4 linked regions of the Nothobranchius furzeri genome follow. The protein of the gene in region 1 interacts with the protein of each later gene in a pairwise test. Links are inferred from orthologs where the notes say so. Each region holds a gene or a part of one and is shown in the gene's direction. Other genes may lie near its edges.

The links.
Region 2: the proteins of tex11 (region 1) and pom121 interact in binary tests that used the Homo sapiens proteins (3 or more experiments, as listed by UniProt). The two-hybrid records come from large-scale screens. The link is inferred for Nothobranchius furzeri from reciprocal best matches to the Homo sapiens genes TEX11 and POM121.
Region 3: the proteins of tex11 (region 1) and efhc1 interact in binary tests that used the Homo sapiens proteins (3 or more experiments, as listed by UniProt). The two-hybrid records come from large-scale screens. The link is inferred for Nothobranchius furzeri from reciprocal best matches to the Homo sapiens genes TEX11 and EFHC1.
Region 4: the proteins of tex11 (region 1) and atxn3 interact in binary tests that used the Homo sapiens proteins (3 or more experiments, as listed by UniProt). The link is inferred for Nothobranchius furzeri from reciprocal best matches to the Homo sapiens genes TEX11 and ATXN3.

Annotation. Positions count from the first base shown.
Region 1 is NC_091741.1:84,269,679-84,273,178, reverse strand, and holds part of tex11 (testis-expressed protein 11), read left to right. Parts: intron 1-1,477; coding exon 1,478-1,590; intron 1,591-1,849; coding exon 1,850-1,934; intron 1,935-2,098; coding exon 2,099-2,178; intron 2,179-2,261; coding exon 2,262-2,342; intron 2,343-2,463; coding exon 2,464-2,583; intron 2,584-2,805; coding exon 2,806-2,886; intron 2,887-3,008; coding exon 3,009-3,094; intron 3,095-3,165; coding exon 3,166-3,223; intron 3,224-3,297; coding exon 3,298-3,393; intron 3,394-3,479; coding exon 3,480-3,500. UniProt on the Homo sapiens protein: Regulator of crossing-over during meiosis. Involved in initiation and/or maintenance of chromosome synapsis and formation of crossovers.
Region 2 is NC_091750.1:52,615,023-52,619,023, reverse strand, and holds the start of pom121 (nuclear envelope pore membrane protein POM 121), read left to right. Parts: upstream 1-1,201; 5' UTR 1,202-1,334; coding exon 1,335-1,900; intron 1,901-2,380; coding exon 2,381-2,587; intron 2,588-2,744; coding exon 2,745-2,894; intron 2,895-2,987; coding exon 2,988-3,068; intron 3,069-3,153; coding exon 3,154-3,325; intron 3,326-3,407; coding exon 3,408-3,496; intron 3,497-3,575; coding exon 3,576-3,655; intron 3,656-3,753; coding exon 3,754-3,875; intron 3,876-3,948; coding exon 3,949-4,001. UniProt on the Homo sapiens protein: Essential component of the nuclear pore complex (NPC). The repeat-containing domain may be involved in anchoring components of the pore complex to the pore membrane. When overexpressed in cells induces the formation of cytoplasmic annulate lamellae (AL).
Region 3 is NC_091742.1:6,295,663-6,299,828, reverse strand, and holds the start of efhc1 (EF-hand domain-containing protein 1), read left to right. Parts: upstream 1-1,366; 5' UTR 1,367-1,508; coding exon 1,509-1,574; intron 1,575-2,654; coding exon 2,655-2,876; intron 2,877-2,955; coding exon 2,956-3,243; intron 3,244-3,348; coding exon 3,349-3,498; intron 3,499-4,166. UniProt on the Homo sapiens protein: Microtubule inner protein (MIP) part of the dynein-decorated doublet microtubules (DMTs) in cilia axoneme, which is required for motile cilia beating.
Region 4 is NC_091758.1:31,656,002-31,660,143, reverse strand, and holds atxn3 (ataxin-3), read left to right. Parts: upstream 1-1,384; 5' UTR 1,385-1,474; coding exon 1,475-1,498; intron 1,499-1,877; coding exon 1,878-2,042; intron 2,043-2,131; coding exon 2,132-2,176; intron 2,177-2,257; coding exon 2,258-2,343; intron 2,344-2,424; coding exon 2,425-2,491; intron 2,492-2,572; coding exon 2,573-2,660; intron 2,661-2,736; coding exon 2,737-2,866; intron 2,867-2,938; coding exon 2,939-3,102; intron 3,103-3,205; coding exon 3,206-3,362; intron 3,363-3,438; coding exon 3,439-3,500; intron 3,501-3,575; coding exon 3,576-3,628; 3' UTR 3,629-3,642; downstream 3,643-4,142. Other genes in the region: E3 ubiquitin-protein ligase UBR1, read right to left, coding at 1,298-1,342. UniProt on the Homo sapiens protein: Deubiquitinating enzyme involved in protein homeostasis maintenance, transcription, cytoskeleton regulation, myogenesis and degradation of misfolded chaperone substrates.

The DNA of each region.
Region 1 (3,500 bases):
AAACAAATAACATTATTACAAAATAACTAATTTTAGGTGAAATTTAGACACAAACTGAGGACAATATTATCCTGATATACAGAAGAAGAAGAAGAAGAAGAAAGTATAATTTCTATAGGGCCTCTCAAGATAAAAATCACGAGGCGCTTACAGGGTTTATGTAGTTGTCTGAAAATGTAACACATTTAAAAAAATATCGCAATAATACCAAAAACTGTGCTAAGTTTGGTCACAATAACTGTGAGGTTAAATTTTCACACCGTGACAACCCCATGCACAACTTATTGTTTTATACAGGTAAAAACGTGTAGTGGAGATAAATCTACCTACATTTTACTTTTCAACACTTTGTTTTCTTGTTTTTATTTAACTATTTTCCTGTCCTGTCTGTCTCTCATCTTCCTGCATCTCCTCTAAATTCTCCAGAAAGAGTGATGCCTGGATTCTTACTTTTTCACCTCATCAGTTACTTTTGAGCAGATCAAAGGGATCTCCTGACCGCAAAGCGGAGTGCGCTTTTCGATGGTGCGTCAGCGAGGTGAAATCACTGCAGCACAGGATAAGCGCGTCAGGAATGATTAAAAGACAGAATACCAGAGGATTTAAACAGATATGAACGATCATGTGTTAATAATAATCTTTTTTTGCACCACCTCGAGAATGTATCGTGCACCGGATGCAGCGGGCGCACCAACGATGAGCGCTCTGTGTCCTCTTCGCTCAACAGTCCCGCTACGCTGAGCGTTCATAAATATTGTAAAATAGGCAGAAACTGTATCTGTCCCTGACAGTTATCTAGCCCCCATAACTCAATCCCTGCTCCTGGATGAAAAACCAGACATTTTGATCAATGTAGGGACCCCCCCCCCCCCCCCCCCCCCCCCCCCCCGACGCCCCGGACAGAGACTGAAAAGTGGACATGTCCGGGGGAAAGAGGACGTATGGTCACCCTACAATAGCACCAACCATAGATATGTGCCAACTAGCGAGAAAAGCAATTTTTGATCATCTTTTTCTGCAGTGGTTTTAGCGCTTTTTGGTGCACCGCTGTTGATACAGCGCCCCTTAAGTGGCGCAACGCTGCAACTGCAGTTAAAATAACATCCATGTAGCTGGGGGCAGAGTGAAATCAGGCTGGGGCGGCACAAAAATAGCTGAAGGCAGCCGCCACGCAAATTTGAACGCAGGAAAAACCCTGATCAGTTAGAAATATTTTCTGTAGATTTTCCATTATGAACTCCGATTTGCTCTCAGTCTGAGTTTTAGGTGGATTTCTGTAGACTCTGTGTGTGTGTGTGTGTGTGTGTGTGTGTGTGTGTGTGTGTGTGTGTGTGTGTGTGTGTGTGTGTGTGTGTGTGTGTGTGTGTGTGTGTGTGTGTGTGTGTGTGTGTGTGTGTGTGTGTGTGTGTGTGTGGAGGCCTAATCTGTTGTTTGGGTCTTGTTGACTACTCTTTTATCTGCTTCTGCCTTTACTCAGGTCTCACAGAACAGTTGCTGCAGAAACATCTGACAGATTTTGATGCAGTTATAGAGGAACTGTTTACTGAAATCTCTGGCTTAGAGTTTTTACCCAAGATAACAGATGTGAAGGTATGTTCAGAGGGTCTGGAGCCCACAGTCAGAGTCAGGGATCAATACTGGTCCATATTGCTTCAAATAAAGTCTGACATAATGTTTGTAAACAAGTGCTGAACTAATATTTCAACATATAATAACCTATATTTCAGCACAGTTATTAGGTTTTTATGCTGAAGTTGTTTATCACAGAACGTATAAGAATGTATTAATTGTATTATAATTTTTATTATTAATGTGTATTAATATATATAAGCTGCATTGTCTTCTGCAGCTTGAGGACTGTGCTGTTCAGCTGTGGAACTGGGCAGTTACCAAACACAAGGGTGCTGCTTTAAGTGAAATTTCCAAGGCTAAAGGTACCATTTTCATCCTAGTTTGTCTGTATTTATTATTTGTAGTTCCAACAATGAATAATAAATACAGCAAGAGAAAATATTAAACATTTGACACAATGTGAGGCATGAGCTGGGCGAGTCACAGCTACATTGCATTATACTGCAACATTTTCTTTCCTATGCAGTCCGTCATGTTGCATGCAGTCTGCTCTACTACTGTGAGCCTGACAATCCAACAGAGGGCACCATCCGCAAGCAGATCCTGGTGAGAAGTGCTTCAGGTATCCTCAGTGAGTGCTCAGCGTTTCAGGAGAACAAGGCCCATTTGTCAGTGTCTAATCTTTACAGATGGCCAGCAAAACAGGGAGAACCTGGCTGGACTGCAAAAATCCCCAAATGGCAGATCATTTCTTGAAGCTTGCTGTCAAGGTGAATAAAAAATGAGCACACAAACTAAGAGAGAGAGAAAGAGAGAGCTGAGACCTGTGCAAGTTTAGAGCAAACAGAAATATGGTGTTTTTACAAACGACTGTTGATGCTGCATCCCTAGAGCCTGGAAACCCTCTACAGCCAGCTAACCACCAGAAGCAATGCAGCAGCTGACAGCTCTTCATCCAAGGCGGATGTGGAGAAGGATCTACTTAGAATTCTGTCATGCCAGGCAGAATCGGTGAGCATGTGATGTGATGTTCGACACCTTCAATGTGAATATTTGTTCTTGTGATATTTGGCAGCTTAGGAAGTGCTGTTCTGACAGACTTGCAGTGTGAAGTGTGAGACAGCAAAAATGTGAACTGAGAAACAATGAGGGGGAAATTTAGAGCAGCTGATAGTGAGTGTCACATTGTTTCCTGACATTTAGTAGGAAGTTCATGTCTGATCTTCTCTACAGGCCTTAACTCAAGGGAACCACCATGAGGCTGTGGGCTACGTGCAGCGCTGTAAAGACATGTTGCAACGACTCCCAAAAGATGTAAAAAAATCCCTCTATTATCACTCTAACAACAGTATATATTTATTGATTTATCACATTCACAGCACATATTGTTGTTGGAAGTGAGGGGGATGTTAACTGTGAACAAACTCTGAACACAGACGGCGTACCTCTCCTTCATGTGCTACAACTTTGGACTAGAAATGTACAATCTCAGGAAGTTTGAGGAGAGTTCTTTCTGGCTCGGGTAAAGACGATATTTAAAGTTTAAATTCAAGTGCTCAGAAACTAAACGGTGAGAATCTTGTTTTTTTTTAGCCAAAGCTATGACATCGGGAAAACAAACGTAAAGTATGGACCTGGATCAGATGTTCTGGTAAGACAGAACACAATTAGGTGACAGCAATGGCAACAGCTGTATGATGAAAAGGATTTCTCCTCTCTCTACAGGCTAAGGCTTTGCGGCTCCTCGCCACAGTTTATGTCGAGTGGGACTGCCAGCAATTTCAGGAGCAGGCCCTGAATGCTGTCAGCTTAGCCAACAAGGTGGGATATGAGTAGCGATTCTCTCACATTGTTCTCTGGAAACACAATGATACTCCATACCTGATTGATTCTGTGCATTCTGGCAGGAGTGTGTGAGCACATCTGGA
Region 2 (4,001 bases), on another chromosome or scaffold:
AAAAATGTTCCGTTATCACAATAAAAGGTTAAATTTGCTTTTGCTTTCATTTGAAATGTTTTACAAAAATTGTTCAGCAGTTTCCCCTGAAGCCAATTAAACAGACTTCTAAAAGTTGCAGAATAGACCAATTTTAGATGGCAACATGTAAACGGTGTTAACAAAAAAAAATCTGCCACAATTGCCTTCAAAATTAAATCTCAAACTTAATTCCAAATCCCACTAGATCTCCACACTAACAGCTCATAAATATCAAATGCATGTAAAACTTAATGTTAGCATATTTTGAGGGCAGATCTGAGCTTTCAGAAGGAAGTATATGTATTTGTGGTTACAGCAAATAATTCAGACTTATCTATCTTTGAAATTGTTTCACAAGCAGGGAAGAGTCATCAAAACATGTTTGTGAAACCTAACGTTTAATTTAAAGCGAAGGTTACAATACTGGGATAAAGATGGAGCATTACCCTTGTCTTGGCATCAATGCACTGCTACCTGCTTGCTTTAGTATCCAGTATAAGGTACTTTAAAATCTATGCATGGCCTTAGGGCCTTACTCAACATTACTTTTGAGCTGCTGCTGTTCTACTCCTGTGGGTCTAAGGTCAGCTGATGAGATGGATGCTCCTGGAAGTCCCAAGAATGAGACCTAGCCTCTGAGGTGGGGGCTTTTAGTGTAGTCTGGAATGTGCTGCCTTTAAATATTAGGTTGGCATCATCGCTGTCTTGTTTTAAATCTCTTTTGAAACCCCTTTTTTATGGCTTTTAACTCCGCATGAGTCTTTTACTTTTAAGAGTAACATCTAAATTAACTTTTTTGTCTGTAGATGTGTAATCAGTGTGGCAATTTGGTGCAACTTTAAATTTAATTTCGGCCCAAAACTTTATATCTCCATCTTCAGGTTAAAAACTGCTCCACATTTATTTAGAATCAGCCACAGCTGATGGCTAAGCTGAAAAACGTGACATTGTCAGCAAATCACCACGTGGCTGCAGTGCACTGGTCTCCAGCTGAGGTAGCCGCACCTCCACCTGGCTCAACCACTCACCTGCCGATGTGACAAGTTGGCGCTCGGAGCCGCTTGCCCCATGCCTCCTTGAAAAAAACGCCCTCCTCTCCTTTTTCATCTAATGATCGCGGTTAACAGGAAACCCTCCAGAATGCTGCAGAATCTGAGTCTGCTATTTCCCTGAGCGGTAAGTCTGCTGTGAGTGTGTGCTTGCGTGCATAGGCGAGTGTGCACGGTGACGTGTGGATTGATGGTGTAGTTCGCTCCTGTGCTCGGTAGGGAGCGCTGCCGCGCGAGCAGTTGGATAGAGCAGCAGCATGTTGAATGCGAGAGAGGCGGCGCGCTACCGCCATGTCACCTAGGGAGAAACAGTTAGCGCTTCTCTCTGTTTTAGGATTAATCACCTTCGCTTTTTACTACATCCCCACTTTTCTGTACGCTACTTTAATTTTTGCAGCTTGTTGTTTTGCTTTTTATTATCACAGCGGAGAATCGTTTCCCGCCAGGTTAGGCCCGAATCCTCGGGTTGGATTAAACGTTTCGGGCGTGCTGCGGCGCTGGTCGTCGGGTTGGACAGCGACCGGCGTCTCGGTGGCCGCGCGGAGTAGAACGAAGAACCGCAACCGATCCGAGCACCATCACCGGGAGACAGAGGGACTCCCGAAGCTCAGTAAAACCGGGCTCTGTCGAGGAGAAGCCTTAGCAAGTGACTCGATTCTTTTCAGCCCTCGGGATTTTCTCATGGGGAGTTACATCGGGAAAGCCGAAAGTCCAGCGGCCGTCTCTGGGAGGCCAAAAGCCGGGAGAAATCCCCGGGAGCAACTGCGAGAACAACTGTCCAGACCCAACCATGCAGTTTATACCCCGAACAGGAGGCTTTCGTTCTCTGGGTGAGTTAATTAGGTTTATTAAGCTCTGATCCATCTGTTTAAATTCACGTGTTGCATGAAAAAGAAATGTTTATAGCGTTAGCTAGCTTGTTAGCACACAAAACCCACATGTTTGAAACGTATAAAGCTCTAACCAGAACTCTTTAACTTGGAATCGTTTTAAAAACATCCAATAACTTTGTTTCATTGGCTTCTTTTACTCATGCTTTTAGCTAAGTTACTGTGATAAATCTTTTGTTTTGATGGCTTGTTGTGTCTACACGCTTGTGTTGTCTAAAAACTAACAGAGCATTTTACTAACTTTTCGTTAAAGTGCATATCTTTACTTTTTGGTTAGGATGAGCAGCATAGTTTCTTTTTCTATGCAGCTGCATGTTTCACATGTAAAGTGATTGTTTTATATTGTTTTATTTCTATTCCATAACATCTGTACGTTTTAACCTGCTGAAGTTGTTCCTTCCATTACAATCTCCTCTGCAGGGAGCCTCTGGGTGCAGCTAACAGGTTCACCATCACCCCCCAGCGTCGCTACCCCCTTCAGCAGCCTGGAGTCTCCTCAGTAGGAGTCCTGCCTCCTGTCAAGTGGGATGGTTTCAGAAAAAAGAACATCCTGAGTCCTCGAAATTCCCCTGCTGCTCTCAGTCCCGTCACTGTAAAGATCGCCAGGCCCGACCACAACATTCCCAGGTCTCTGCAGGTTAAATGTTTTTGGGCACGACCGTTTATTTTTAATTTTTAATTTTTTGTCTTTTAATTTACTATTTGGATAGCCCTTGATTTGTTGCTTGAGGTCTTGCTACTTTCAGCCGAATCAGTGCTGACTGTCCTCTGCTCTGGTTTTTAGTGTGAATCATCTGAGTTGTGCAGGGCTCACCAGGGTCCCGGCAGACCCCTGCTCCAGAGAGAGCGTCCTCAAGGTGTTGAAGGAAAGCCGCAAGAGGGAAGTAGAGGATGAGGACAGGAGCTTCACCGCTGAGCAAAGAAGCAAAAGAAGGTAGAAAATTTGTTTAATAGATTCTTGAGGTACTGTCTGCTCAGTCTGGACAATAGCAGCTGTCTTATGGTTTCTTTTTATGGCTTTTCTTAGGCGCAATGACAGCGGTGGAAGTTCGCACTCTGCTTTTGAGCCTCTGTTGCCTAATGGAGCACCATCCCAGCTGGTCCCTAAGTGAGTAAGAATTGTATGTAAAGCTGAATCATAATCTTAGATGTTGGACAAAGCTTTAAATGTTGTTTTTATTAATGTTCTCCAGACCAGGGAGCCTAAAAAGAGGGATGACCGCATCCTTAGACGAGACCACCATGAAGAGGTCTCGCACCTCCTCCATCAGCTCTAGTTCTGGAGTTCATGCCCCGAGAGGAACTTCGGGTACCAGAAGAAATGCAATCCAAAGCTCCTACAGCTCTTCGATAGGTTTTAGTCAGGTATCTTCATCTACCGGAGTCTAGTAAAGGGGGTTTTTGCATAGCAAAAGCAAATCGAAGCATTTTTTGTTTTTCTTTACAGTGGAAGAAACCATCTGCACCCAGCTCTCCTCTATCGAGCCCTGAATCGTCTCGCTCTCAGACTCCAGAGGGATTTGCCAAAAGACCCAGGTCTGTTTCTGCATGTTTGTCATCATTAAACCACATTTAACTACAAATTAAAGCTTTTTTTATGTTTTCTAATCAACAGAGAGGATGACACTCAGTCTCCAAGCTCTGCATCCTCAGTGAAGTCGGACCACACTGCATCAGACAAGACCCTTGATACCAGTAATTCCCATTTATCTGTAGATGACTTTTCCAATTTAGATGATTCATGTTCAAAGTATGGTCACAAACAAATATGATGTTGTTTCATAATATTGCAGTAAAACAAACTCCGGTGATCAAATCCCCAGTCACAACCTCTGCAGACTCGACTGGAAGTGGTGGGAAGAGAAAACGGAAGATCCAGCTGGTGTCCAGCCACCGAGATGATCGCATCTCTCTGGTGAGGAGCGCTGATCTCCCTCACATTTGTTTATTTGCATCCAGATTGCATTATTGTGGTTGTTCATGTGCAGCCTCCACCTCCTGAGCTGGGCTACACCATCACAGCCAAAGATCTAGACGAAGA
Region 3 (4,166 bases), on another chromosome or scaffold:
CTGCTACACTTGGAGCTTTATGCTCAGTACTTTCCAGTATTCAGCGTGTGCTTTACCAGATGGGCATTTTGAATGAAACATGCTTGACAATGGGTCGATGTAGGACAATCATTCCACAGAGAATAACCATGCTGCATTTTGAGCTTAATAAAACCAAAAGATTTTAGTTTTTCTACACGTGTGCAGGGGATTCATCTCAACCCTTATGAAAAATATTTTATAATATTTAATAGTTTATCTATGTTTACTTTGTTTTAAGTATGCTTAATTATGAGATATTTTTATACGTGGCAAAGGCTGCCTGGCACCTCAGGGATGCAATCCTAGTATTTCTGTTTGGATGATGTGCTCATCGAGCCATGATCGGCTCAATTAAATAGGTTTTTCAGCATTTAAGGAAATTTTGAAATATGATGTAAAAGGCCTCAAAGAGGATTTTAGTGATTTATAGTTATTTTTGATACAGAAATTCACAGTGCAGTGCCTTTTTTTAGCCATTAAGTCATAGTTGTCACCCATAACTAGTGTTTTTTTAACTGAAATCACATTTCTATTTCTATTTATACAACCATTTTGCTATGGAAAAGGTGGAGCTTGTGTAAAACCTCAATGTTTCTATTGAATATTGCACTTGCCATCTACTCTGTAAAATTGCAAGAATATGCCAAATTTGTAAATGTGGTTTTGCTTGAAATTACTTTTTCTAGTCTTTGATGATCAAAGATTGTGTGAACTTCAGGGCTCCAACAAACCACGGCCTAATTCCATAGCTGTCAGTGCTGAACAGATGCTCATGGTGATCACTGCTTGCTGCCATCTGAAGAAGGAACCAGCACTGAAGATGAAACGTGCAAGTACCAGTTTAATAACATAAGCTATAGTCAGATTCATTTAAAGGCTTTCATTGTCTTAATGGAACATTTTAAAGCATTAAGTTTCCCATCTTCTTGTCTAGACTTGGAGGAATTTCACATGTGCTAATAACAATGTAAGACTCCTGTGCTTGGAATAAACTGTTCAAATTTAAACTGCTGTTGTTTTTCCTTGGAAATTTTAATTTTCACAGCTTTATCTGCACAATCCTTTTCTCATAGCACAGAAACAAATCAAATCAAATGATAGGTAGTCACGCAAATAAGAGCAAACTTTGTTACCCAAGTTAGGGAGAGTCGGCAGGATTTAATGAGCAATGTTGCCCCCTGGTGGCCACATGAGGGTTTTGCTATTTACGAATTAGAAAATATATAAAGAATTAAGAAATCATTTTATTTCTAATTTCTTTTTATTATTCCTGTTCATTTTTATCGTAAAATTTGATTTGTCTCATTTTTTATGACGGAAGTTTTATTTTTCTGTATTTAATTTTAGAAATTGTTACTGTTTTATCGTTTCCATGGAAACTACAAACTAACCTCAATCGTTGTCGTGTGGCTTTGTATTTCGAGAAGCTCTTCAGGAGACTCAAATTGTTTTAGAGACAATAATTTAGAAAACTGCTTCCCGGGAAAATGGCTTTTAACTGGAATAACTATGGGATACCATTTTTACCAGGATACTCGTTTAGAGAGGAAAGGGTAAACTGACACACCTGAAGCTAAAGCTAGCTAGCAAAACAGAATTCTTGATGTAAATGACCGGTAAACAAACACTAAAGTTAGCATTTTGCAGGCTTTTGCTGTTTTTCATTATTCCTTTACTTTTTATTTCTGTAATAGAAATGTCATTGCTATAATTCCTCAGGCATTTGTGGAAAAAAGAAATTACTAATTAGTCATAATTGATAAACATATTTAAACATTGTTGAATGCTTTCAGCTCCATAAAAAAGTTCTGATAACATTTAGAAGAACTGTTACACAAATTATTCACATCTGTAATTTATTCATCTTATTTGTTAATATAAAGCTTTAGTGTGAAATGTCTAGTAACAGCACATTTTTGCAGAAGACGGCTAAAATACTCTTTTACTATGAGATTTTTCTCAACTGCGGGGATTTTACCATCTGTTCTGTAAAACCAACATCAGCAAAACTGATCATTAATCCTTGTGCAAGTTGGCTTGCAATGAATGAAAAACCTTATACACTATATAAGAATACAACTTTTCTAGACCAGTGTTCATTTAAAGAGCAAGTCATCCCCAAATCAACTTTTTTTTCTGATAAACTATATAAATGTGCGTAATCGAGCTGCAGACACATGTAGACAATAGTCTTGCACTTTAGTTAAATTTTTAATTTTCTGCCTAAAACTATCAGTGTTGTGCTCTCTTCAGCTGAAAATTCTGCACTGCATTTGAATTTAAATCTGTCATCGCCATTGGCTAAGAGATACCCTATGGTGTTAGCTGGTACAATATGATGTCACAATGCCGTTGTGAGCCTGTGACTCTTTAAAGAACACAGAGTTTAGTTATTATTCACAGCTGCTAGTGATTGGAAAATTGGTAAATCGAAACCTATAACACCTTTTGGTGCTGGATCACTCAAACTAACCAACTTATTACAGAAAATTACATGGAAATACACCAGTGTCATATTTTTATTCTATGTACTTTGCATCTACAAGCGTCATGCTACATTGTGAAGTTTCGTGTACATGACTTCATAATTTCTGGTGTGATTTAAGTCCACAATAAAGTATTTGTTTCGACAGAAGTCCTCCTTCCACCTACCCCAGACTCTGATCTATAAGAACGGCTTTGCTTTGCCTCGTCGCCCATCCGCTGGCATTGGTCAGGAGCCTCTAGTATCAGAGCAGCTGTCCCAACAGGAGATCAGTGAGCTGTCCTTTGAGAAACCAGACCTTACATATCACTTTGATGACAAGACAGTATACGAAGACTTCATCCCAGCTTATGTGAAATTCGACAAAAAGGTTGAACCTAGAAAATCTGATATGATCATTTATCCATAAAATGTAAATTACTGTTGACAACCATCTGCTTGTATTCTAGGTACTTTGTTTCTTTGCATACTTCTTGGAGGATGTCTGGAATTCACCTGACGAGGATCACCGTATACGCCATGTGGTCATTTATTACTATCTCGAGGATGACAGCATGTGCATCTGGGAGTCCGCAGTGATGAACTCTGGGATATCACAGGGGAAGCGGCTCAAACGCCATCGGGTGCCAAAGAATGACCGTGGAGACTATTACCACTGGAAAGACTTCAACCTTGGTATAGACCTGGAAGTGTATGGATACAAGTACCATCTTACTCACTGTGATACATTCACAAAGGTACATCACTCCTGATTCCTGTTATCATCCCTATGAAACAAGTGTTGTGTGTGAGCCGCTTCTGCAACTAGTCTTTTGGTTTGAGGCTTTTCATTCACTCAACAGGACTTCATGGAACATGAGGGTATAGTTCTGAATGAGCCTGAGCCGATGCCTGAGGATCCTTACATCAAACATCGTCAACTCTCACCACCGCCCCGTATCACTTCACCCACACCCGACATAACTCACCGGTTTCTTACCATGGACCTTAAGGTAAAGGAAAGTCCTTGTTTCCAAGTCACTGCAGCAATAAAACGAGCACATCTGGTGACCTTTACAACTTTAACATGCAGTTGGAGGAGAACAGGCACATAACAAGAATGCTATTTTGTGCAGGATTGTTACTTGTTAATGTTTTGTATATTTTATGGATTTATACTGGCTGTTGCAAGTACAATCGTAGTATGTTCCAAAGGACATCTCATTAAAGAACATTTAAGACTACTTACCTGCAACAAAACCTATATCCAGATTAACTATAATCACTTTATTTCAGCAACTAAAAAGTAAAAAAAAGACTCCAAAATGTCAACCATTTATTATTTTATAAACCTCCACATTGCCATACAATTTTATACTTAGTTACAGTTCAATTTTGTATAATATTTTAAACATTTTTTTTAAATATTTCTGCCTAATTAATGCCGTTATGTTGATTTGATACTGTTGCTGAGGTTTGAAACTGTGTAACATAGTCCACTTTGACATATATGTAACATCCCATTAATACCAAATGTTTAATATTTGACAAATCTGTTTTTAAGAGCTTTAACAGGATTTGTACTTTCCTCAAAAACCTGAATCCTGTACATTTCTTCTGCCCTCTGGTTGAAGCTCTGTGTTGTAGGCAACATGTGCAACTGTATTTTTTTAATAGTTGT
Region 4 (4,142 bases), on another chromosome or scaffold:
TATTTAGATAATAGGATTATCAAGCAGTTCATGCAGATCTGTCACCTGAAAACATGTGATGTGAGTCTCCTCTTCTAAAATGTGATTAATTCGATTCAGATGTAGTGACTGTAGCGGCTTGAATAAAACATCATTTTGAGATGATTAGAGCTTTGTAGTATTATCCTGCTGGATGTAGCCGTCAGAGCATGGGTCCAGTGTGGAAACACAAGTATGGACACTATCGCCAACAATAATCAGGTACGGGCCCAGACCATTACATCACCACCAGCAGCCTGAACCGTTAAGATGGATCCATGTTTTCAAGTTGTTAACATCAAAGTCTAACCTAACATTTATGAATGTTGCAGCTGAAGTTGAGATGCAACCTTTTGCTAATATCATGATGAAAACTGCAACACTCAGACCAGCCTGCCTGGCACCAGCACAAAACCACATTCATTACCACTGAAATCCCCTTTCTTCCCCAGATAATCAGACAAAACTTCATCATGTCCACATGTCTAAATGCTACCACCTGATTGGCTGTTTGTGTTAATAAGCATCTGAACTGGTTTACCTGCTAAACAAACTGGTGAGTGTATGGTACATCCACGCCAGGAGTCTGTTTAGGTTCACTTACATAAATATGCATCATCAGAACAAATATGTTTTTGTGTACCAACTGAACACCTTGAAAATAATACAATGGATTGGATGAAGCAAGTAAAATTATACAAAAATTATATTTCGGTTTTGAAAATAAAACTGAAATAATTTATTTTATACGAAACTAAAACAAAAACCACATTAGACGGATTTCTCAATAATAAAACACAAAGGCTGTAACTACATTAGGACGTTTAAAAATGCGTGATTATGTTGGTGTTTGGGAGGCGAAAATATCTGAACAGGTAAACCTAAATATGAATAACAACACAGTAACAGTAGACTAGTTTACTTTCACTGTAAATAAACGGAAAAGGCATTCAGGACCTCAGGCTAAGCATTTTAAATGTCATGTGTAAGCACAGAGGGGAAAGACAAACACTTACATCATTTCTCATGGAAAAAGACTAAATTTATCCCGAAAAGAAGTAAAAATAAAGTCGGTTTATCCGTAATAAACAGCGTGATGCCTCTCTAATGCTAGTTAGCCTTGGCGGCTACGACTATTATTAGCCTGGCAAGAACAACCTTCTACCATAATGCAGTAAAACCTTATTACACATGATTTTTTTTTTATTTTAAACTCCGTCGTTTTGCCACAAACTCTCAGAAAGCGCTGTCAACGGAATTAGCTGAGAGAACATCATACCTGACTCAGCTCCAGCCTGTTCATGGAATTCTCACTGTCCGCCATATTCCATTTGCCGTAAGTAGAGGCGTCCAGCACTGTGCCGCGCGCACGCCCGCCCGCTAGGGGGCGTCTCCTCTCGATAGGGCGAGTGAGGGGCGGGGGTTAGAGAGTTGAACGTTTGACAGAAAGCTGAATATGGACTCCATATTTCATGAGAAAGTAGGTTTAAACATTTTATAACACGAATTTACCTGATTATATTTACTGATTTTTGATTAAGCGGTGTCGGTGCTCGATCTGCTGAATAGTTTTACCAGTTAAGTAGCCGCTATCGAGGCGTTTGTGATGGAGTTGTTGTACAAACTGCTAATACGCTAATTCACTTGCTAGTCAGAGAATGTGAAAAGTTAGATTTTTAACATGATAACTATTCCTGGCGTCATGTAGGGGTTTTGTTTTCTTGTTAGTTAATCGCTCTCTGCTTGGCTGGGTCCTCGTTGGGCTAGCTGCTACATGTGTTTGTTTTGGTTGAGCATCTTTATTCCAGAAGTCCAGCTGATGCTGGATGCTTGTTACATTCCTGATCCTTTGTTTGCAGCAAGAGGGCTCCCTCTGTGCCCAGCACTGCCTCAACAACCTTCTGCAGGGCGAGTATTTCACTCCTGTGGACCTGTCCTCTATCGCTCATCAGCTTGATGAAGAGGAGAGGATGAGGATGGCAGAGGGGGGAATGGCTAGTGAGGAGTACAGGACCTTTTTACAGGTGTTATGAGACAGAGGGTACATATTGGTACAAAATGTTATCAAAAATGTAATTTTATTCATGTTTTTCTTTCGAAAATGTGTTTAAAGCAACCCTCTGGGAACATGGATGATAGTGGGTTCTTTTCAATACAAGTGAGTTTACAATTATCTTTTTATTGCTTCTAAAATCCATGTCCTCTTCTGTAATATCACTCTTGTTTCAATATTTTCAAGGTGATTAGCAATGCTCTTCGAGTCTGGGGCTTGGAGCTACTCCTCTTTAATAGTCGAGAGTACCAGAGCCTAATGATAAACCCAGTGTAAGGTTTTAATGTGGAAACATTATGATAGAAGATCCTGATCTCTCATTTCTTTAAGCTGATGCTTACTTTGTGTTTCAGAAATGAGAAAGCCTTCATTTGCAATTATAAGGAGCACTGGTTTACTATACGCAAACTTGGACAACAGGTGTGTGGCACTCACTCACTTACCTAGTCATACTTGTCTTATAGCAGCTTGATTCACTAAAATTCTCTGTTTCCTTTGCAGTGGTTTAACCTGAATTCACTGTTGACAGGACCAGAGTTGATATCAGACACATATTTAGCACTTTTCCTTGCACAGCTACAACAAGAAGGTAGCATCAGAAACTGTACATTTAGAGGTTGAACTGGAGAAAAGATGATTAAATTAGTTCTTTTTTTTTTTTGCAGGGTATTCCATATTTGTGATCCGAGGGAATCTCCCTGAGTGTGAGGCAGAGCAGATTCTTGGGATCATGAGGGTCCATCAGCAGCAGCGGCCAAGGCTCATCGGAGAGGAGGAAGCGCAGACGAGTGCGGGGTGTGTGTCATTTTGTTCACAAGGGTTCTGGTTTGTTTAACTCGTCTGATTCGTGCGTTTTGCTGTAAGCAGAAGGTCGGCTGCTCTGAGCCAGACAGAGGTGGTTTTTGGTGTTGAGGATGAGTCTGTGGGTGAAGATGAAGAACTGAAGAGAGCTCTGGCGCTCAGTAGACAGGACATGGATGTGGAAGATGAAGATGCTGATCTACGCAGAGCCATACAGCTCAGCATGCAAGGTCAATTGTGTGCCATGTGAAGGTTTTAAAACTGTTTGAAACTTGTATTAAACTTCTAAACATTAGTTTGTAAAATTAACTATTTGCATTTGTCTTTCTGCAGGAGCAGTGATGAGCAACAGGATGTCAGACAGTGAAGGGGAGGGTGTAAAATCTGGAGGGCAGGCAGCAGAGAGCACTACAGGAGAACAAAAAGAAGGCCAAAACGAGACGCTTACAGCCGAAGAGCTGAGGAAGAGGAGACGAGCCTACTTCGATCGGTAAGATCTACAACGACTGTTTAAATCCCTAAACGAGCTCTGCCCACTTAGAAAACAGATGTTTCTGTGTTTATAGGCAGCAACAAGCTCAGCCAAGCATTCCTCAACAAGCAGACAAACATTCAGCGGCTGATCCAGGTGATTAAATCTAACTTAGTTCAGAAGTCATGTGACTTGATGACTCGTTTAACCTGTGGCTCTTATTTCCACCAGGATCAGTAAACACTGGCTCTGAGGAGGACCAACAACAAGCTCCCATCCAATAAAGTGGTGAAAGTTTTGTCCGTGTTGTTTACCTGCAGCCTGGATTCAACTCCCCTCTCAGGGGTGGCTTTGCTCCTTCTTCTAACCTTTTGCAAATGCAAACATAAGGGCAGTCAGAAGGCTGACACGTGGTTACTCCCCCGCCCCCTTCCCGCCTCGTTAGTCACTGACTGAGGAAGAGAAGAACGACAAAGAAAAGGCAGCACTTTCTCATCTGAATCTTTTAGAAAGCACGGCCACTGGACCGGAGAAGACTCACGATGCAGTTTAATCCAAGTTTGCAATTTGCCTTTTTACCATGGCGCCTTCTATTTCTATCGTACAGTTTTATATCCTGGTTTTGTGTTTCTTTTCTTAAACACGTGGAAGTTATGTCCTTACTTGCTGAGAGGTAAAACGAAAAGGCGTTCAACAGAAGCAATATGAGACCAACGTTTAGATTAAAGCTTTACGGAAAACAACAAAGCCTCCTGATTTTGTAGCGGTTTTTCGTGCAACACACAAGTAATTAAAACA